5 linked regions of the Mus musculus genome follow. The protein of the gene in region 1 binds, or shares a complex with, the protein of each later gene. Links are inferred from orthologs where the notes say so. Each region holds a gene or a part of one and is shown in the gene's direction. Other genes may lie near its edges.

Region 1 (4,122 bases):
AGTGGTAGAATTCTCATTCAGTTTCAGGGACCGAGCCTTCACATGGGGGCTTGGTATATCCATACCACAGCACCACAACACAACACCAGAGACACGGCATTTGTTAAAAATAGCTTTTGAAAAGGAACAAATACAAGTTTATTATTGATGGCAAATTATAAAGAAACTTTAATGTTTTCTGAAAATTAATATTTTATCATTACCTTACTTTTTACAGTCTTTCAAAGCTACAGGTTTGGTTTTCTCTGATTGTTGTTTTAATGTTGTTACTATTATGCAGAGTTCAGTTCAGGGCTCATACTTGTTAGAAAGCACTCTGGCAGTGAGCTACAGCCCCAAACTCATAGGCTTGGAGAGGTATCACTGTTTTGTTTTTTTCTTTGATTTGTATTTGTCTGTCTGAATTTGGTGTGAACACTGAGAAGCATATTTGGTCATTTTATAGTATGTATGTATATGTAAAATACATATATATATTTATATATATCTTATTTTTATTTTTTATTTATATATTTTTTAATTTTTTTTTTTGTTGGTTTTTCAAGACAGGGTTTCTCTGTGTAGCCCTGGCTATCCTGGAACTCACTCTGTAGACCAAGCTGGCCTAGAACTCAGAAATCTGCCTGCCTCTGCCTCCCAAGTGCTGAGATTAAAGGCGTGCACCACCACCACCAGCCAGTACCTATATTTTTAGATTAAAATTTTATATTTGGAGTGTGTTGTAATCATTTAAATGGTTCTAGGCAAACTTAGCAAAGTTTTGTATTGTTAAAGTTTTGTATTTTTTTTTGTTTGTTTGTTTGTTTTTTTGGTTTCGAGACAGGGTTTCTCTACATAGCCCTGGCTGCCCTGGAACTCACTCTGTAGACCAGGCTGGCCTCGAACTCAGAAATCTGCCTGCCTCTGCCACCCAAGTGCTGGGATTAAAGGCGTGCGTCACCACGCCTGGCTTTGTATTGTTTTTATATACTTGAAATAAGGAGAACTTTGGGGGCTGGAGAGATGGCTCAGAGGTTAAGAGCACTGACTGCTCTTTCGAAGGTCCTGAGTTCAAATGTCAGCAACCACATGGTGGCTCACAACCACCTGTAATGGGATCTGATGCCCTCTTCTGGAGCATCTGAAGATAGCCACAGTGTACTTACATATAATAAATAAATAAATCTTTTTTTAAAAAAAGGAGAACTTTAAGAGGAGTTGTAGACACGGCGCTTACAACCTTTTATAACTGCAGGTTTAGGGGATCTGATGTGCTCTTCTGACCTCCACAGGCACCAGTTATACACAGAACACTCATACACATAAAAAACCCTAAATCCTTAAAAATAACTTTTAATTAAACAAGTATTTAAGCCATGTGTGACATATTTTTTTTAACATTCAATTGGTACACTTCTGATCATACCTGATTTAAGTCTTTATTTCCACTAAGAACTTTGTCTCTCTTGTTTTTCAAAGAAAACTCTGCATAACTTACTGAGAAAATTTGTGCCTTCCTTTTCTGCTGAAATTGAACGATTGAATCAACAGCATGAGAAACTGTTTCATAAATGGATGCTTCAGTTACAGTAAGTTATCATTGTAAGCCCTACACAATGAAGAATAAGTATATGTCTGTGTTAAAACATGATTTGCCAGGTGTGATGGCATGTGCCTTTAATCCCAGCTCTAGGGAAACAGAAGCAGGTAATCTCTGAATTCTAGGCCAGCCTGGTCTTCATAGTGAGTTCAGGACAGCCAGGACTACCTAGAGAGTCCCTGTCTCAGAACCCAAAAACAATGCCAGGATGGTTATGACGTACGCCTTTAATCCCAGCACTCAGGAGGCAGAGGAAGGTGGATCTCTGGGAGTTTGAGGCCAGCCTGGTCTCCATGGAGAAACCCTGTCTCAAAAAAAAACCCCTTAACCAAACAGAAACCATAGTCTGCTGCTGTATTGATCACAGGTTGGCCCTCTCAGTGGGCGAGAGCACTGCTCTAGGAGCACTTTCCCTTTTCATCGTTGCTTAGTTTTTCCATTTGTATTGTATGTGTGAATGTGAGTGTGTGCGCGCTGCAGTGCATGTAGGGGTCAGAGGACAATTTGTAGGAATAGGGTCCAAGGGTAACACCTAATGGCAGGCGTGTATGCCAAGTTCCTCCCCTAACTCCCACTCACGCTGTTGTGGTATTTGTTTTTCTGATGCTGTGATCAAACACTAGGACCAAAAGCAACCTGGGGAGCAAAGAGTTGATTTCATCATAGTATAGTATGGCTGTAGTTATAAAATGATGATTGGGGGAGCGAAGGCGAGAACTCAGGCAGTTCTGTTCCTCCTCCTTACTTGCCTCCCTGTACTGTAGCTTTTCCAGAAGCATCTGCTGCTTCCCTGTGGTCAAACCTTCCAGCTAATGCTGGCACTTTCAGGTGTGCGTTAGTGTAGGAAAGTACAGTTAACATGGTAGTGCGGTTCACTGTTGCTCATTCTTTTGTTCATTTCAACTCTCCTGTAGCCCATGTGAAACATTGCAGGATCGGCCGTGGTTCCTCTTACGTCAGGCTGCAGAAAAAGCTGACAAACACTGGGACTGTGAAGGGTGAACACAGCAGCTTAGCTGTCTAGCTGCCCCAGTCCGCCCTGCACTTTTTTTTTTTTTTGGTTTTTCGAGACAGGGTTTCTCTGTATAGCCCTGGCTGTCCTGGATCTCATTTTGTAGACCAGGCTGGCCTCAAACTCAAAAATCTGCCTGCCTCTGCCTCCCGAGTGCTGGGATTAACGGCGCGCAACACCACGCCCGGCCCCCGCCCTGCACTTTTGATTTACTCATGTATTTGTGAGGCAGAGTCTAGCCTGAAGCTTGCTTTGTAAACCATGCTGGCTCTGAGATTACAGCAGCCCTGCCTCTGCCGCCCAGTGCTGGGATTAGAGGTGTACACGGTGGGGCTGCTCTTTGTACATTACCCTTTGTTCTTTGGGGTTTTCTTTTCTGCAGTCCTTGTGAGCTGGAAAGAAACTGGGGATAAAGCTGGCAGTCAGGAGTCTCATGCTGTAATTTTACAGACATTGTCCTTCCTTACAGCCTTGGGTTCAACATTGTGCTTTATGGCTTGGGGTCCAAGAGAGATTTACTAGAAAAGTTTCGAACCACCATGCTTCAAGATTCCATTCATGTTGTCATCAACGGCTACTTTCCTGGCGTCAGTGTGAAATCAGTAAGTTTACTGTTAAAGGAGTAATATTATGTCCTCTGCCACGTCCTGGCCCCTTAACTGTTATAGTACAATTTCTGCTTCTGAACACTGTATATAAAGGATTTTGCTTTAGGCTTCAGACCACTTAGATCATGTGTTTGTATTCAGAGCAATTGATCTTTAAGTTTTCATGTTTGAATTTCCTACCAAGTCACTGACGTGGGGCAGGGGAAATGGCTTGTTCTGTAAAGATCTCAGTTCAGTCTCATGAACTCTTTCCTTTTCTAAAGAACTAGATGTGGTCTGTGCTTGCAATCCCAGTGCTAGAGAAATAGGGGGAGGGAGGGGCTGAGCTCAGGGCTCACTGACCATCCAGCCCAGCCTACTTGATGAGTTCCCTGCCAGTGAGAGACCCTGTCTCAGAATAAACGACGAGGCTAGAGAGTGGCTTAGCCGTTAGGAACGCTTGCTGCTCTTGCACAGATCCAGGTTCTGTTTCTAGACCCCTCATGGCAGTTTACAACTGTAACTCCAGTTCAGTCCAAAGCATCTGACTCCTTCTGGCCTCCTCGGGCACTGCACGCACGTGTTGCACATACATACATGCTGGCAAAACACTCATATTAAAATGAAAAAAAAACCAACTTTTTAGGAATAATTGATAAAAAAAAGCACACACAGCACCTGAAGAACAGCACCCAAGTTTGTCCTGTGGCCTCCACATTTACCTGCATACAAATGTGCACCCAAACAAGCCCATGCACAAATAATCACTGTCTTAGTTAGGGTTGCTATGGCTGTGATGAAACACCATGACCAAAAAACACAAGTTGGAAGCAAATGGGGAGGGAAGACATTTGGCTTACACTTCCACATCATAGTCCATCATTAAAGGAAGTCAGGGTAGTGACTGAGCTGGTCAGAGGCCAAGGTGCTGCATTCCTGGATTA
Region 2 (4,131 bases), on another chromosome or scaffold:
GGTGGAAGGGAGGTACTGCTGAGTTGGTAAGTCAGAGATCCTGAACTAAGCGATAACTTCCATTGGTTCGCATTGGGGCATTAAAGGGAAGAAGAGAGACACAGAAAATTTGCTTCTGGATAGGTCAGAGATAAGAGGCCTATGTCCCCTGAAGCTTTGGAGAGGAGATGGGTATTGAGCTGGGGTTATATATTTGGTGGGTTTTGTAGTTGAATAAGAAGGGGTGATGTTTGGCTGTAGAGGAGTTTTGGGTGCTCCATGCTTAGGGATCTCCCTGAGAGGCCGGTAAGGGAAAAGGTGTGTCAGCGTGGGGGTTGGAGAGGAGGAGGAGAAGGAGGAGGGGAATGGCTGGCAAATCTGAGGTCAAGCAGATGGGGGAAGCAAAAGAAATGGCAAGGAGACCCCTTCCCAGAAAGGGGGTGGGACAGGGTGGTGCCACTAGGAAGGAATGGATAAAGGGGAGAGGTGTAAGTACAAAGAACGTAGTGGGGTTTGGTGGGCCTGGTAAGGCTGTCTCCTTACTCCGACAACAGGAATGAGGAGAGGCGAGTCTCCAGACTTGGTCAGACCCTGATGTCCAGAAGGAGATTGACCACTCTCTATGATGACCACCTAAGGCTCCCTGTCAGAGACGGTGGTGGTCAGGTCAGGGGAGCTCAGGGCCCCTCAGTCAGACGTAGCCAGACCAAGGAGGTCAGCTGAAGGGCGGTCTGGACTTGATGTCCCTGTGCCATGAGGGACAGGGGGCAGTAAAAACCCTAGTGCCCTTCTTGATGGCACTTTGGACATTGTGAGGGCTCAGACAGGCCTGGGTCCAGGGGCATGGAGGTTCTTCGGCTCTGGGGTTCAGAGAGCCTGGGCTTTTGCCTTGGCTAGCTGAGAGGTCTGAGCCATCATCACATAGTCTTGTTTTCAGACTTTTTCATCTCTGTAGAAAAATAAAACCACTTTTTCCTTTTCTCCATCCCTGCTCCTGGAAGGACAATTCTGAGACTATTTATTTAATAAATGCCTAGGCTACAAGCTTTGGGTCATTCCTGACTAGCTCATAACTCATTACTCTGTCTTTCCCATGGTTAGTTTCCTCTCCACAGCTTCATGCGTAATGAAGTGCAGGGTGAGTCTCCTCCATTCTCTCCTTTGAGCTACGGCTGGTTTACACCCATCTCCTCAGATTGGTCTCCAGCCAATCTCCCTTTTATTCTCTGCTGAGTTCCTCTATGTGGCTGGTTTACAACTGTCTTCTCAGTGTTCCTGGGCAACTCTCCCATGCCTCTATTTCCCAGAATCCTCTCTCCTCCTGCCAGTGTCCCCTACCTATTTCTCGCCTCAGCCCACTGGCCACAGTTACTGACAGGTGTTGCTTAGAAGAGATTCTCTCTCCAGACCTCTCCGATGGTACACCTTAACCCTGACCCTCATACCGTGGAGACTGAGAGAAGTTGCAGCTCATAAGCTCTTTTCCATCCGGTCTTGGGGTCCAGATTGGTGCACTGTAGGAGGGATCCGGTGAAGAGGGCCAGTGCGGCCGTGGCTGGGGGAACCTCCACTTCCAAGAGTAGCACAGAATGGTTACTGGACACTTCCTCAGATGCAGGGAAATATTTTCAGTGACCAAAGGGGAAACTTAGCTAATTGCCACAGGTGTCTGGGAGGGATGCTGAACTATCAGTGAGCCGGAAGGTGAGTCCTGCTGGTGGACTGGAGATGAGGGTCCCAGTGCGGCTCAGACCACAAGGCGGAGCACAGGCACCAGAAGAGCGCATTGAGTCATGGCACCAAACATGGCCATGGTGCAGCTCTGAAGGGAAAGGCTTCTCCTACACAAGCTGGCTCCAGTTGCCCGGAGATTTCCCACAGTGCAGATGTGACAGCTGTGCTCCGGTTCAGGACAGTTTCCCCAGTCGGAGCGAGAGAGCTCTACTCCAAGAGGTATCATGGCATTCAGGAGCCAAGGAATTCCACAGAGTCACACCCCACAGCAAACCTCACACAAGAGATTAGCTGGGAGGGAAAACCCAGGAGAGTGGCAGCCGCTGCTGAGGCCAGAAGCAGCAGAGAACTGGGTAGACCATAGGTTGGGGGGTGGGGTGTTTCCAGGGTGGTCAGAGATTGGTAGGATTTTTTTTTTCTTGCACAGTGGGGCCTGGGCACTTCCCTGCCTTGAGGGGCTGGAATGGCCCTTGTAGTAGTTAGGAAACAGCTGTTAGGGAAGGGGGCACTTTTGTGCCTTGAGGGCTTACAGAGGGATCCACAGCAGGGAACGCTCGAGTCGACTTGAATGACCAAGCTCCCTTCACACAGCTGTTGTCTGTCCTTGGTCGTGGGGAAAGAGGCACTGGAAGCATCTTCTGGCCTACAACCCTGGATGTCCAGCCCCTGGGGACCCTATGATCCCATCCATCCCTGTGACTTCCCTTTAAGACACAGCTAAAGCTCTCTAGGCCAAAACCCAAGCCCCAAGCAGGACCATGCATGGGTAAGGCTAGAATCTTCTACAGGGTGTGTGAGGTGAACTTCATCTTCTCTGAGGACTCCAAGGTGTCAGGACAAAGAGTCGATGGGCTGGCATTTGTGAATGAAGATGTGGTGGGTAAGTGAGCCCAGCTGGGACACCCTGGGCAGGCTGGGGAACGAGGAGGCTGTATTGACAGCTGGCTTGGGCACGCAGCCAGCCTGGACTCTCTCTCTCCTCTCCCTGCAGCCTCCAAAGGGAGTGGACAGGGCACCATCTACCTGTGGAGCTGGAGCCAGACATGGGCAGGCCGGGGCAGACAGTCTGTGTTGCCCGTAGTCATCCTGGTCCGGCTGCAGTGGTCACCCACCAACCTGGCCTACTTTTCACTCAGCACCTGTCCCGGTGAGCCTGCCCACTCTGTTACACTCCCTTTCTGCCCCTGCCCCTCCCCTCCCCAACCCCATCTTAGGCTCCCACTTGCCCTGGCAGGCAAAAACCTCGTGCTGTGTGGGGACGAGGAAGGCAGTGTGTGGATCTATGATGTTGAACACCTCCTGAAAGAGCCTCCACAGGCAACAACTCTGCAGCCCCCAACACAGGTACTGTTGGCACCCTACAGATCCTGGTATCCCTTAGGGCTACTGTTGGGTAGGCAGGAGCCTAGCGCCTTCTTCTTCCCTCCTCAGATCCTGAAGTGGCCTCAGCCAACAGCATTGGGCCAACCAGTGACCAAGACCATGATAAACACAGTCGTGGCCAATGCAGCCTTCACCTACCTCACTGCCCTGACAGACTCCAACATCGTGTCCATCTGGAGGAGATGCTAGTCTGCCTGCACAAGGCAGTGTGTCAGGACATGGCTTGTTAGCTTGGGCTAATGGGAGAGGGCTTTGTACCAGTGAGTATTTTTTATTAAATTCTCTATTGTAGAGTGGAGGCCAGTGGGAAATGAGTGTAGTCACACAGGCTCCACTGGGGTTTCTACCTTGGTTAACTCAGGCAGGCCCAGCAGCCTGTGGTTCAGGTCTGAGTGACAGTCCACACACTGCACAGCCCCATTTTCTGCTCTGCTTTTATTAGGAAAACAACAGTCTATGTACAGAATGGGGCAGAGCCCCGTGCCCAGCTAGAGAGCTGAGAGTGGCTGTCGCCATGTGGTAAACTGAAGGGCCCTGAGGAGTATGTGCCAGCCTTCCAGCCACTAAGCAACGCTTCTTTCAGCTGCTACTCAATTCCTTCTTGCTTGTCCTTGATGGCCACCTGAGGGGGACAAAGGCAGTGACTACACTGGAATGACTCCAGCATATTGGTGCAGCACCAAGACACTGGGGCTGCAGTCCTTGCAAATGCAACACTCCAGAGGACACGGCAGGGGGTGGACCAGTCTCCAAAGGCTCCAGGTACCTCAGCAGGCTTCCCCCACCCTGCCCTGTGGCATCTGCTTGCTAGGGAGCCAACTGGGACATGCCTGCCCAGTGGGGTGAAACCTCAAAGGAGGCTTACCTTACACGGAAACCCCAGACCAAGAACTGTGCTACCCTGGGAAGAACGGCTAGACAAGAGCCTGGAGTCTCTGGGGCCTTACGAACCAGAGTAGCCAGTGGCAACGGTGGTTTTGTGCTAGGTAAACACTGCACTATCAAGCTACACCCAACCCAGCCCCTCACTGGGGA
Region 3 (4,122 bases), on another chromosome or scaffold:
AATTCCTTGGTGGCTGTAGGATGAGAATTGGTATGGAAATAAAACTGAACAATAGAACAAAGTTCCCAAACTGATGTTCAACTAAGAGAACATCTGAGATGAACAGGAGGTAGGGTAGTCAACATATAAATACATTTCTGCTGTGTCCAAATTGGAGGCCCCAACCCATTGCACGTTATGCAGTCACTTTAGTAAACTGTGAAATAGAACACATTTGCTGTTAGAGGATAAGAGTAACAGTTGTTTTCTGGGACTTTTGTTTTTATGTCTACTGGAAATATATTCGTTAAATTTTCAAAATAATATATTCCTTGATACACATTTTTTTCAGAATTATTGCAATAAGGATATTTTGACAGAAAGGCTGACAGGAGAGAACAGTTTTAAAACTATATAAAGTAATACATATTAGGGCAGAGATAATTCTCAACTGTTAGGAGCATTGGCTGCTTTTGTAGAGAACTGGGGTTGATTCCCAGGCCCCACAAGCAGCTCACAACTATCTGTTGTTAGGTCCAGTCAAGGGGATTCAACACTCTCTTCTGCCTTCCTTGGCAGTGCATGCACCTTTTAATAGGATTGAATTCTAAAAAAGAAAGGGTCTGGTGAGATGGTGTAGCAGTTAAGAGCACTGGCTTCTCTTCTGACGGTCCTGAGTTCACTTACCAGCATCCACATGGTGGCTCATGTCCACCTATAAAGGGATCTGATGTCCTCTTCTGGCATGCAGGTGTTCATGCAGACAGAGCACTCATACATAAAAAAATTAAATGGAAAAAAAGGCCATGGTGGTGGCTCATACCTTTAATCCCAATATTTGGGAGGCAGAGGTAGACAGATCTCTAAGTTTGAGGCCAGCCTCCTCTACATAGTGAGTTGCAGGATAGTCAGGATTACCTATACAGAGAAACCCTGTCTTGAAAAGCTAGAGGGGGGCAGGAGGGGAAGGGTTGGGGAGGGGAAGAGAGGAGAAGAGAGAAGAAAAGACAAAAAAGAAAGTAATACTTATTAAATCAAAGGCTGGAGTAAACTATTAGGACAAAAAAGTATGAAAAATTATTTGATAAAGTTAAAGATGGTATGGATGAAAACATTGATGTTTACCTTGAACTGAAAGTCAGCAAGTCAATGCTTAGAGATTCTTAGTAAGAAATAGAACTCTAAAATTTTAAATGTCCTTTATATTATGGTAAAAATTGAGATTTAAAATTAAATACAAATGATAAACTATATTGTTTTTCTCCAAATGTAAAGGAGACATGTATATGTAGATACATAGTTTTTGGATGCATAGAGGCATAGAAAATGTTTTGAGCAGAGGCAGGCGGATTTCTGAGTTCGAGGCCAGCCTGGTTTACAGAGTGAGTTCCTGGACAGCCAGGGCGATACAGTGAAACCTTGTCTCGAAAAAACCAAAACAAACAAACAAACAAAAAAAAAAACCCCAAAAAAAGAAAAAAAAAAAGAAAATGTTTTAATCCCCTCTCCCATGCTGTTTGTCTCTATGTACAGTCTCTTAATTTTATTGTGTTAAAAAAACTTGACTTTCTGGGTTTTTTTTTTTTTAGAGGATTATTTTAATAATGAGGAACTTGACTCTGAGGACAGTAAACTTCGATTTGAAACATATAGCTTGCTATGGCAACGGATGAAATCTGAAACAGAGGTGAATAATTTCCTTTTTACATTTCTGTAATAAAATAGTATGAGTCTTGTATTTACTTCTCATATCTAATGATGTATAAGAGTATATATAGAAAATGAGAAAGTACAATCAAACACAGCCTATATACCACAAGTAAAACATGTGTCATGTTCTAAAGTTATGTATGGCCTTCGTCGCTGCAACATGATCATTTCTAAGAAAAAAAAAAAATCACTGTGGTGAACTCTTAAATTCAGTTAAGAGGTTACACAAGTCTGAAATGAAGCCATTTCGAAATTTGTGCTAGCATCCAATTTTTGCTGTGTTTTGGTTTGCTTCTTGAGACATAGTCTTAAGCTCAGGTTGGCCTAGAGCTTACTGCATATTGGCTGTGAATATCGTCAGTATAGTAATGGCAGCAGCTCCAGTGCCAGCCGCTCGTTCGGCTTAAGCGACGCGATGCTATAGTGTCTTGTTTTTGAATGAGAGTTGCACACAATTTTTATGTGGGTGCTAGGAATTCCAACTTAGGTCTTTCTGCTTGCACAGCGTGCACGCTTACCCACGAGGCATTTTTCCAGTGCACCCGCTGTCCAGTCTCTTAGTGCTTCCCATCTGTCTTTACTACTTTACACTCCACAGAAGAGGGCATTGAATTCACTGTGGTTGGAGTTAACAAGGAGGGAACTGAGCTCCAGCCCTCTGCTGAAACACTGTACACAAGCTCTTGTCTAGGCTTCTTAACCTAGGTTACAGATGCATTCTAATGGTGGTTATCTGGGAGACTGTCTGCATAATGAGGCCATCTTTGGTAGCTAGGTATCCTTCACTCTCACAGTCCTGTAGCTTGGTGTCCTTATCCCTCCCTGCCTTAATCCCCAAACTTCAACCTGTCCCATTAACTTTACCCACAGTTTTTTTCTGATTGTCACTTTCAGCTATTTTGCCCTTTTATTCCCTCTCAATACACTGTGTGCTTGCTCACTGTGTGTCAAGATATGTGTGCATGTCCCATTCTGTCCCCTTCCAATACATTGTTTCTGCTTGTTGTGTGTTAATACAGTCTATAGGTTTCCCCCTCTTCTCTTCCCTTTCAATACAGTTTGTGCTGGCCATTGTGTGTTGATATCTGTGGGGATTTTTTTTTTTTTTTTTGAGTTTTTGAGTTTTTGAGTTTTTTGAGACAGGGTTTCTCTGTGTAGCCCTGGCTGTCCTGGAACTCACTTTGTAGACCAAGCTGGCCTCGAACTCAGAAATCCGCCTGTCTCTGCCTCCCAAGTGCTGGGATTAAAGGCATGCGCCACCACTGCCTGGCATCTGTGGGGTTTTTTACCCGGTTGCTCTATTGCTGCTTTATCTCATCAACTAAAATTACTGAACATTCAAAGGGAAAAGAAAAATTAAAAACTACACCAGGAAAGAAAAGAAATACAACTACTAATAACTCATGAAATTTTGTTTTCTTTGCAGCAATTACAGGAGGAATTAAATGAAAATCTGTTTGATAACCTAGTTGACTTTCTGCAGAAGTCCCATCCTGAATTCCAGAAAAATTCAAGAGACTGGGGCTCTCAAATGAAATTCAGAGAAATTCCAACAGCTGCTCTTATTCTTGGTATGTATGCATATCTGTGCATATTTTTTAAACTGGTTTTGCTATTGATACTAGTGGAAAATATCTTGTTATGATAAAACTCCTACAAATTAAAACAACTGTGATTTGACTTACATACTTTGTAAATGTTTATTATATATTCAGGTATCTGTAGATAAAAAGAAATTGACCTAGCTACATTACTAGTAGAAGAACTGAGGAAAACTACAATTGTTTTTTTAGTCTTCTTCCTGTGTGTTTTTAGGGTAATGACATTTGAATTCAATAATAAAACAGTAGTGTGTTAGTGGATTTAATTATTTCTACTTTCTTAAAACAATCATATCTTCAATGAAATTTATAATACTTATTTCTTGCACTTGAAATCTTAATTCAGATTCTTTTAACATTAATTGCATAGAGAAGAATTTGTATAAATTGTATATAAATTACTTCCAGATTATGTTATAATTTTTTAAAATATTCATCAATAATATCTAATTTAGAGCAAGCATATTTCAGGATAATACAAAATATCTGATTTATTAACAGTAGTTTTTTCAGGTTACCAAGAAAACCAGAATAAATAAGACAAAGAAAAAGCACAACATGTAGACACAAAAGTACAAGATCAAAATATATACTCAAAAGACCATTAAGACCAAAAAAATGCCTAAACACATCAATATGAGACAAAAAGTCTCAGAAGTCCTACTGAGTTCATTTTTTGGAGGCCATCTACTGCTGGCTGTGGGGCCTACCCTCAAGGGTGGTTAACATGCCCAATGAGACGCCACTGAAGAAAACTAACTTTTCTTCTGGGGGGTGTGTGTATGAATATTAAACGTTTCTCTATAGCTTTATTCCCCCCCCCCCCTTTTAA
Region 4 (4,122 bases), on another chromosome or scaffold:
TTGTTTGGTTTTTATAATTTTCTTTTGCTTTAATTTAACAACTTTTTTCAACAGAAGAACTATGTAAAATACATTTGTGGTTTTGATTGTTTTCCTTAATGTATCTACTGCCTGGGGTTATAGGCTTCCTCACAGGTGTTTTTGTTTTTGTTTTTGTTTTTCCTCTCCTTAGAATTGCAAGGATTTTGCATGAATTTTGTTTTGTGGAGAAAATCCTGGAGTGAGATTTTCTTTAGTTTTTCTTTTTTCTTTTCTTTTTGCTGTATTTAGATTATATAAGTGGCTGAGCCTCACAGAAGTCTCAGATCCCTGTGGCTTAGTAGGACATTTTATCTTTCTTTGTACCGTCTATCATAACAGTGTACAAATCAAAGGAAGCAAGCTTGTGTAGATGAGCTCAGTGGAAGAGTGCTCAGACTCTCTTGATACACTTAGGAGATAAAAAGTTTTACTAATGTCTATCCTTTAAAGGATTTGAAATGTTTTCTAATGTGTGATTCATGAATTGAAACAAAATGGCTCCCAAGTAAAATATAAATGTCAGTGAAATGTAAGAGATAGGAGGCAGCACACAATGCAATACTTTTTAAAAATACGTTGAAAGTAGTGTTGTTAGGGAGAAAGTTTGTATGAGTCACAGATGTTCTCTTGTGATAGAGTCGATCTGATTGAAAGATAGGAAAGTACTGTCTTATCTCTTATGGTTGCTTTTATTGTTTCTTCTCAGCTGAACTACTACAGAAGTCAGACAGTTGTACCCAGAGAGGTTTTTTTGTTTTTTTTTGTTTGTTTGTTTGTTTGTTTGTTTTTTTAAGAGAATCTAGATCAAGAGTACCTGTGTATAATTCCATGTGCTTAAAATCCACACATACCAAAGTTAATTTCTATGTTTACTATCCTTTTGTAAAATCTGTCTACTCTCTTTACTTATATGTACACCTAACCTCTGTTTTCCTGGACCACTTTTTTTTTTTAAATTTTATATCTTTTTTCCCCACATTTTTTATTAGATATTTTCTTCATTTACATTTCAAATGCTATCCCAAAAGTCCCCTATACCCTCCCCAAGCCCTACTCCCCTATCCACTCACTCCTACTTCTTGGCCCTGGTGCTCCCCTGTCCTGGGGCATATAAAGTTTGCAAGACCAAGGGGCCTCTTTTCTCAATGATGGCCGACTAGGCCATCTTCTGCTACATATGCAGCTAGAGACACTCACTCTGGGGGTACTGGTTAGTTCGTATTGTTGTTCCACCTATAGGGTTGCAGACCCCTTCAGCTCCTTGGGTACTTTCTCTAGCTCCTCCATTGGGGGCCCTGTGTTCTATCCATTAGATGACTGTGAGCATCCACTTCTGTATTTGCCAGGCACTGGCAAAGCCTCACAGGAGACAGCTATATCAGGGTCCCTTCAGCAAAATCTTGCTGGCATATGCAATAGTGTCTCCTGGACCATTTTTGATGTGAATAAAAGTGTTTTACATTGCCCTTAATCTTCTTCATTTACAAATTTTATATTACAATAATACATTCTCAGTATAAGTACATTTTCATAGTAATTATTATTGGTAATCTTACAATTTCATCTAACCTTTTACTAACTTTTGTATTGTTTTTTGTTTTGTTTTGTTTTTTGTTTTGTTTTGATTATTTGTTTGTGAAACAATTTCATATAGTTCAGGTTGCAGGTCATCCTGACTCTTCAATTTCTCACTCTTTGCCTTCACCTCCTGAGTGCTGGGATTACAGGCTAATTGCTGCTGCGTCCAGCTAAATTTCATCACTATGCTTTTCTATTCTTGTTCATGAGTAAATAGTTTATATTTTTCTTTTTAACTATTTGCTATTTCTTATTTCATGACAATATGCAGACTATCAACAGTGTTGCATAAAATTGACATTGGAGGACAAACCTTTTACAACTATTTAGGTTTATTTTTTTCTATAGCTTTTAACTGCTTTCAGTGGCACCTGGTAGAGAAATGTTACTGAATAGTAAAATGTACTGAGTCATAGAGATTACAAAAGAAGGTTTTATGATTGCTTCCAATGTTTATTAATAGTTTATATAAATTATTAAGATATTAAAGTTTCAGTTAGGCTTTGCCATTAGACTTAGACATAATGAATTGTATATATCTAAACCTATTAGCTATAAAGTAATTTATTTGTTTATATTTATTCTCAACATTTATGATTTTAAGAAAGAATAGCTTCATTTTATCTTTTCCAAATTAAACATTTTACACATTTTTATATTTAGTTATTAAATCATGCTTTGAAAGAACTCATGGAAATAGAAGTGAGTGAAAATGTGATACAAGTTCACTTAAATGGTGAGTATATCATTATTTTTCCATTAAGAAACAATGTGAACTAGTTTTGCATATGATGATAATAAATTCATTTGTGTTTTAAGTCTGTCTATATATTAAAAACTGTATGCCTGTTTAATGGCTTTTAGATATTAAAGGAAAGTATATATGGTAAAAGTGTATATTTTCAAATAGTTAAATAGTTTTTTTTTCTTAAATAGTGCCATCTCCAAGGAATGCTTCGATTACCATATTTTTAGAAGAAGTAATATGAAATAGCAATCTGATTATATTCTTTCTAATTAAATTTTTAAAAGCATTAGAAAATACATTTACTTGGAAAATAATCTGTGTCAAATACTTGCTTCTTTTTATTTAGACACCATTAATTGTACTCTGTTTCAGGACTCCTGCAGACAAATGAAAAAATTGCTCTGAAAGAGATCACAAGACAATTAAATCTAGACAATGTAGTTGAAGATAAAGTTTTTGTAAGTATCATTTCAGATATTTTATTTCTGGAAGGCTAGGAGAGTCATATTAGAAAGTTATGTAATATATATGTTAGAAGTTGATGTAAGATTTTTGTTAGGATAAGACTTAATGTATGGCATATTTAGTCATCAAGCTTTTTTTTATTTTGGTGGTTGTTTTTATGTATTTTTATGACTGTTTAAGTAAAAGTCTTTTTAAATCAAGACTTATGAAGTAGCGTGAGCATATTAGATACTATTTTGAATTTAAAAATGGCATCGTGGATTGACTTGTTGTTAAGAGTTGATTCCCTGTTGGTGATACTAGGCTGTCGGATCAATGAATCTCTCTCAATATCAGATTCTTTGACTAAGTATACTTACTTTGTGTATGTAACAAGATTATTCTAAAGAAGGGGCGTAAATGTCCTTTTGATTAAATACTCTGTTGGATGCTAATGTGCTGTATGAATATCTGTTACTTCATTTCCGTCACTTAGGGTATGCTGGTGTGCCTTGAAGTCTCAAAGTACCGATAGTGCTTCAGACTGTAGTGTTGGAAATGTCTCATTCAGCTGTTTACCTCACATAAATGACCTAAGGAAGACATGAGTAATCCATGTCCGAGACTCCATATGCAGATGAGATACACATTTCCCAAGTCCATTTTCTGTTTACTGCTGTGCCTGCAGTACTGTCTTTCTTATCTTACCACTCTTTGCTCTGTGCTGCAGTGATCTGAATACAGCTATGCACACACGCTTCTAGTATCTAGGAATTGCATTCTTTAAGTTAGCAACAAAAAGTTGAGCCAACTATATTTTCTCCTTTCCTGCTCTACAAACTGTTGAGAAATAAAGTCAGAGTGTTCCTTTATTAATAACTGTGTTCAACAAGAATTCCTATTAAAACTGTAGCAAATGATCTGTGGGGGGGTTAATTCTAATGTTCCTAGATGGATATATTAGTACTGTATTTGTGTAAATTCATGAAAGAGGCAGTTGTATTACAATCTCATTCCAATCACGGCTATTGTGATTATCATGAAAGTCAGTCCTTTGTATATTTAGGTCCGATATCTGTATATGCAACCAATATCAAACTGAAGATATTCAAGAAAAATAAATGCATTTATGCTAAGCTTGGACAGACTTTGGGTTTTTTTTTTGTTTGGTTTTTGGTTTTTGTTGTTGTTGTTGTTGTTGTTTTTTCCGAGGCAGGGTTTCTCTGTATAGCCCTGGCTGTCCTGGAACTCACTTTGTAGAACAGGCTGGCCTCGAACTCAGTAATCCACCTGCCTCTGCCTCCGGAGTGCTGGGATTAAAACAGTGCGCC
Region 5 (4,712 bases), on another chromosome or scaffold:
AGATGTAAACTCTCCCATGCTCAAGGATAGGCAGGATTAAAATAGTGAAAATGACCATCCTACCGAAGGCAATTTACAGATTCCAACACAATTTTTTATAGACCTTGAACAAGCAATTCTCAACTTCATAAGAAACAAACAAACAAACAAACAAACAAAAACCACAGGAGAGCCAAAACAATCCTGAGCAATGAAAGAACTTCCAGAAGAGTCACAGTCCCTGACCTCAGGCTGTAATAAAGAGCAACAGTGATACAAAACACCTGTGTGATACTGATACAAAAACAGACTCACAGATCAAAGTAAATGAATCAAAGACCCAGAAACAAACTCACATACCTATGAACACTTGATCTTTGAAAAAGAAGCCAAAATTATACAGTGAAAAAGAAAGAAAGAAAGAAAGAAAGAAAGAAAGAAAGAAAGAAAGAAAGAAAGAAAGAAAGCAAGCACCTTCAATAAATGGTGCTGGTCTAACTGGCAGTCTGTATGTAGAAGAATGAAAATAGATCCATATTTATCATCTTGCACAAACCTCAAGTCCAAGTGGATCAAGGATCTCAACATAAAACCGGATACATTGAGTCTAATAGAAGAGAAAGTGGGGAAGAGCCATGAACACGCTGGCATAGGGAAAATGTCCTGAATAGAACACCAGTGGCTCAGGCTCTAAGATCAAATATTGATAAATGGGACCTCATGAAACTGAAAAGCTTCTGTAAGGCAAAGGGCTCTATCAACAGGACCAAACAGCAGCCTACAGATTGGGAAAGGATTGTCACTAACTACTTATGGTAGAGGCTGTGGAGTAAGGGGAATACTTCTTCATTGCAGGTAGTAATTCAAACTTGTACAACCACTTTGGAACCAAAGTGTGTGTGTGTGTGTGTGGTAATTAGATTTCCTCCACAGGCAGTTGTATTGTTCAATAATACATAATGGGCCTCTTTCTAATATGGGTGCCGTGTTTTCCTTGTCTTTTTGCACTGTTTATGAAATCTATGTGTAGCAGACACTGCGTACATTATCTTTTATTCTTAAAAATACTCTACTATAGTCCTTATGTTCTATATAAGGAAGTTTATAAATAAACGGTTCAAAGATTCTCCCAACATCTCAAAATTCAGAAAAAGTTGAGTCAATGTTTCCAGACCAAATTTTTTTTTCAGGACCCAAAGCCCTCTCTTTGGACACGAATTTTCTTATTCCTATACATTCTTTCATTTCAAGGCTTTTCTTCTTCCAGGTGTCCTATAAATGTGCAAGGACAACGTTAATTTTACTGATTACCCTCACTAACACTCGAATACTTCCACATCTAGTTTCAAGCTTGCAAAGACAAACAAATGATTTTATTTAGTTAGTTCCACAGAGTTCCCATTGTCCACTTTCTTGCCAGAGGAAAACCAATTTTTTTTTAAAGAATACTCGTTTCTGTCGGTACTTTTATGTGTGCGGCTTTCTGGAGGGAACTGAAGACACAGAAGGTGGGCGGTGAGGTGCCCCCAGGTCGCCCTTCAGCTTGTGTAAGGGTTTCAGGCTGGAAAGCTCAGGCCAGAGTGGGAAGCGATAACCACTTACCAGTAACCGACCACTGAGCACCGCCGCCTGGAGACTAGAGCGGCCCACGTTGTCGCGCGGCTCCCTGACGTCACTCGACCGCGCTGGCTCCGCCCCCAGCCCAGGCTTCCGGCCGGAAAGCTTGCGGTTGTTCTACGTGAACCACGCCTGAGTGGCGCAGGGCTGACCGGAGGCCAACTGCTCTGCAGTATCAGGTGGTGCCCGCCAAAATGTCTCACTTGGAGAGCATGGTCCTCTGTCGAGAGGCCCAAGTGTCCACTTTGCAGTCCCTGTTTGGAGAGGTATTGTAGTCAGACTGCTTCCCAAATGCCAGAGGCGAATGCGTCCTGGATCCGTTCCGTTTGGGGGGAGTACTGTGTGGATTGCGAGGCGGTAGGCTATCCCCCTTATGTTAAGATGGAGGTGCGGTATGACTGCCCCACACTTACCCAAAGAAACTTCTCAGTCTATTTTAAAGGAGACTGCAGAGGAAGAGCTGGCCTGCTCTACAGGACGTCGGCTAGGAAGTGCTCCTTTTACTTGGACCACACTTTGGAGATTATGTGAGCCCCAAATAGCTACTGCAAGTTGCTGCAGAACAGGGTTTGGGTAGGAAGTCTGTTTGCAGAGTGTTTACTAAACGCCAGTTCGCCCGTTGTAGTGAGGTATAGATTGGGTCAAATACAGAGAGGTGATTGGCTTCAAGGCCAATTAGGGTAACGCTGTGGTTTAGCCTTTAAAATCCTTCAGCTTTTCTAGAATTATAAAAGCCAGGAGAAGTCTCGCTTGGGTTTCTCTCCCTGCCGACCAGATGAGATGATTTAGAGGGGAGAGGTTAGCCTCTGAAGTGAACACAGGCTGAAGTAACATTCATTTCTCTCAGTTGCCTTGCATTGTGCTCATTAATTAGAATTGATTGCACTTGGATCTTATCTGGGAGATGAGCAAATACAAATAGCCATTTAGTCTTCCTTTAGAAATGTACTTTCATCCAGCAGAGTGTCGGATCCAGTGCGTCTGTGGTGGCAGATGAAATAGTCATGGAAAAGTACTTCCCTCCATCTAAAAGGCGTCATGTTAGCAATTCTAGAGGTCAGCTGCATCTGTAGTTCCTAGTTATAATGCTTTCAGTTATAGTTACCTATATTATTGAAATGTATAATTGTTTATGCTCTGTACATTCCTTCATTGGACTTGATAAACCCAGATTATTCTAACCAAAAGTACTCCTCTTTTTTTGAGGAATACTTTATTAGCAAAATAAGATAGGTAGGGCTGATTTAGCAGTGGGTCCCAGAAAAGGCTTCACCTTTGCTCTTATTTAATACTACATCTAACAAAAACAATATTTTTCTTCAAGGAAGTTTGCATGTGGGAAATACAAAGAACCACTATAGCAAATAGCTACAGAAGAAAAAAGAGCTAGCTATGCTCGTAGAAGACTAATTTATATGTTTAGCAAGTGTGTATTTTCTGAGCACTGGCTCTGTGTGTGGCACTGTGCCAGATTCAGTCTTGTGGCACATGTTGGGGAAAAGTTAAGTGACAGTGGAGTCAGAGTTCATTTCAACTCTAGGTGACAATGTGAACGTTGTTTAAAAGGGGAGCATGCTGGTTAGTTTTGCCCTCGTGGGAAGAGAGAACATAACTGAAAACAAATATGCCTCCAACAGATAGTCAGTAGGCAAGTCTGTAGGACATTTTCTTGATTAATGATTGATGTGGGAGGGCCCAGCCCACTGGGAATGGTACAACTCCAGGGAAGAAAGCAAGCTGAGTAAGTCATTAAGACACCTTCCTCCGTGGCCTCTGCTTCAGTTTCTGCTTCTAGGTTCTTGCCTGGAATTCCTGCCCCAACTTTCCTTCATGATGAACTATAACCGTCAAGCTGAAGTAAACCCTTTCCTCCACAGGACGCCTCTGAGCATGCTATTAATCACGGCAATGGAAGCTTGTATGGGCAGGGAATACTGTAGTAGGCTCCAAAGAGTAGATGTATACAAGTGTGATGGGATTCCAGATTTCATCTAGCTTTGGAAAGAAAGAAAAACAAAAAGTCATGAGCTTCCTTTTTGCTTATGAAATGATACCTGAAATTATTTTAAAAATTTATGTCTCCCCAGTAGATGTTTGAAGCCATCAGAGTCTACCCTGTTTGACACTGGTATCTGTGCTGCTCAGTCGCTTATAATTTTATAGGATAATTCCATAAGGGGACACACGTTGAGTTGAATTTAAGTTCAACTTAAAGTATTAGGCACACGCCTTTAATCCCAGCACTCGGGAGGCAGAGGCAGGCGGATATCTGAGTTCGAGGCCAGCCTGGTCTACAAAGTGAGTTCCAGGACAGCCAGGAACTACAGGGCTACACAGAGAAACCCTGTCTCAAAAAACCAAATAATAATAATAAAAAAAAGAATATGTATATACCACTGAAATAACTTGGATTTAGTGTTATCCTGTCTTTTCTTTCTTAGAGACATCATTTCAGCTTTCCGTCCATCTTTATTTATGGACACACTGCCAGTGGGAAGACCTATGTAACACAAACATTGTTGAAAACTTTAGAGGTAAGAATAACCCTAACCCTGATGTGGACCTTTATTCTTACGTCACTAGAGACGGAATGAATCGAGACAATTTATTTCACCACCCAGTGCCTTCTCTATCTGCAAACCAGGGCAAGTAGAGTCAGCTTTGGGATTGTTAGGTACTAAATGTTAACGCATGAAAAATGAATTGCAGTTCTTATTATAAACAGTTATAGAAGTATTTTAGATGCTATTTATTTATGAATATTATCATATACCTACTTATGTCCTAAGCCAGCAGTAAGCCATATCTATTTGAGAAGGTATGGCTGTGATCTGCAGCAAGTGTGTACACAGAAACAGATGTGCAGGCCACAGCTTCAGGTTGCTAACTCTGGTCTTGCCTTAGCTCCGAGGATGCATATTTAAGATGGCCTGCTGAGTTGCTCTGAAAACTTGCATTTGAAAACTTGTCTATGAAGTATCCTGGAGATAATTGTTGAATAAAAGCATGAAAATCCAGTAAGGAGTTTTATGTTTAAGGAATGTATTATATTTTTAATACTTTATTACTTTTTGCAATCACTTAATGTAAGAAGAGATTTGTTTCTGTTATAGATG

Evidence for each region.
Region 2: the proteins of Orc2 (region 1) and Lrwd1 are in contact, whole or in part, in a crystal structure (PDB 8SIU), measured with the Rattus norvegicus proteins. The link is inferred for Mus musculus from reciprocal best matches to the Homo sapiens genes ORC2 and LRWD1. Residues at the interface, in NP_001012003.1 of Rattus norvegicus: Val11, Pro12, Ser13, Val14, Gln15, Phe16, Val17, Gly18, Asp19, Val22, Leu23, Ser24, His25, Ile26, Leu27, Asp28; in XP_038945348.1 of Rattus norvegicus: Pro262, Leu263, His264, Phe265, Leu266, Gln267, Cys268, Ser270, Asn273, Ser274, Pro275, Leu320, Val321, Leu322, His323, Lys324, Tyr325, Lys326, Leu367, Val369, Gly372, Phe373, Cys374, Pro596, Pro598, Val599, Ala600, Val605, Ile630.
Region 3: the proteins of Orc2 (region 1) and Orc3 are in contact, whole or in part, in a cryo-EM structure (PDB 7JPO), measured with the Homo sapiens proteins. The link is inferred for Mus musculus from reciprocal best matches to the Homo sapiens genes ORC2 and ORC3. Residues at the interface, in NP_006181.1 of Homo sapiens: Leu239, Glu242, Tyr243, Ala246, His247, Asp268, Arg273, Leu276, Val279, Ser280, Phe283, Glu286, Leu287, Leu290, Lys296, Leu297, His299, Lys300, Met302, Leu303, Gln304, His306, Leu307, Phe309, Tyr314, Gly315, Leu316, Arg320, Glu324, Arg327; in NP_036513.2 of Homo sapiens: Thr3, Ser4, Ser5, Met6, Ser7, Lys8, Gly9, Cys10, Phe11, Val12, Phe13, Lys14, Pro15, Arg20, Ile22, Ile26, Tyr29, Phe30, Lys32, Tyr47, Val111, Thr112, Lys139, Asp318, Lys326, Gln329, Leu330, Leu333, Tyr337, Glu589.
Region 4: the proteins of Orc2 (region 1) and Orc4 are in contact, whole or in part, in a cryo-EM structure (PDB 7JPP), measured with the Homo sapiens proteins. The link is inferred for Mus musculus from reciprocal best matches to the Homo sapiens genes ORC2 and ORC4. Residues at the interface, in NP_006181.1 of Homo sapiens: Asp501, Asp504, Tyr508, Ser512, Gln518, Glu522, Val554; in NP_001177808.1 of Homo sapiens: Lys168, Asn169, Arg195, Glu200, Leu201, Lys204, Arg205.
Region 5: the proteins of Orc2 (region 1) and Orc5 are in contact, whole or in part, in a cryo-EM structure (PDB 7JPO), measured with the Homo sapiens proteins. The link is inferred for Mus musculus from reciprocal best matches to the Homo sapiens genes ORC2 and ORC5. Residues at the interface, in NP_006181.1 of Homo sapiens: Val240, Glu241, Tyr243, Phe244, Glu245, Ser248, Asp396, Gln398, Arg401, Gly402, Glu403, His426, Asn428, Ala429, Pro430, Leu431, Met432, Trp433, Asp434, His435, Gln438, Trp445; in NP_002544.1 of Homo sapiens: Asp324, Lys325, Phe328, Leu329, Leu359, Asp360, Arg361, Ala364, Tyr367, Ser368, Ala378, Asn379, Phe381, Ser382, Gln383, Thr385, Ser386, Thr389, Asp400, Gln401, Leu402, Asp403, Tyr407.

Annotation. Positions count from the first base shown.
Region 1 is NC_000067.6:58,473,880-58,478,001, reverse strand, and holds part of Orc2 (origin recognition complex subunit 2), read left to right. Parts: intron 1-1,458; coding exon 1,459-1,568; intron 1,569-3,060; coding exon 3,061-3,193; intron 3,194-4,122. UniProt on the Homo sapiens protein: Component of the origin recognition complex (ORC) that binds origins of replication. DNA-binding is ATP-dependent. The specific DNA sequences that define origins of replication have not been identified yet.
Region 2 is NC_000071.6:136,122,329-136,126,459, reverse strand, and holds the end of Lrwd1 (leucine-rich repeat and WD repeat-containing protein 1), read left to right. Parts: intron 1-2,501; coding exon 2,502-2,593; intron 2,594-2,704; coding exon 2,705-2,860; intron 2,861-2,947; coding exon 2,948-3,057; intron 3,058-3,144; coding exon 3,145-3,285; 3' UTR 3,286-3,394; downstream 3,395-4,131. Other genes in the region: Polr2j (DNA-directed RNA polymerase II subunit RPB11), read right to left, coding at 3,683-3,718. UniProt on the Homo sapiens protein: Required for G1/S transition. Recruits and stabilizes the origin recognition complex (ORC) onto chromatin during G1 to establish pre-replication complex (preRC) and to heterochromatic sites in post-replicated cells.
Region 3 is NC_000070.6:34,604,675-34,608,796, reverse strand, and holds part of Orc3 (origin recognition complex subunit 3), read left to right. Parts: intron 1-1,568; coding exon 1,569-1,666; intron 1,667-3,115; coding exon 3,116-3,260; intron 3,261-4,122. UniProt on the Homo sapiens protein: Component of the origin recognition complex (ORC) that binds origins of replication. DNA-binding is ATP-dependent. The specific DNA sequences that define origins of replication have not been identified yet.
Region 4 is NC_000068.7:48,931,763-48,935,884, reverse strand, and holds part of Orc4 (origin recognition complex subunit 4), read left to right. Parts: intron 1-2,262; coding exon 2,263-2,335; intron 2,336-2,719; coding exon 2,720-2,805; intron 2,806-3,287; coding exon of another isoform or gene 3,288-3,326; exon of another isoform or gene 3,327-4,122. UniProt on the Homo sapiens protein: Component of the origin recognition complex (ORC) that binds origins of replication. DNA-binding is ATP-dependent. The specific DNA sequences that define origins of replication have not been identified yet.
Region 5 is NC_000071.6:22,547,342-22,552,053, reverse strand, and holds the start of Orc5 (origin recognition complex subunit 5), read left to right. Parts: upstream 1-1,715; 5' UTR 1,716-1,790; coding exon 1,791-1,862; intron 1,863-4,037; coding exon 4,038-4,130; intron 4,131-4,712. UniProt on the Homo sapiens protein: Component of the origin recognition complex (ORC) that binds origins of replication. DNA-binding is ATP-dependent. The specific DNA sequences that define origins of replication have not been identified yet.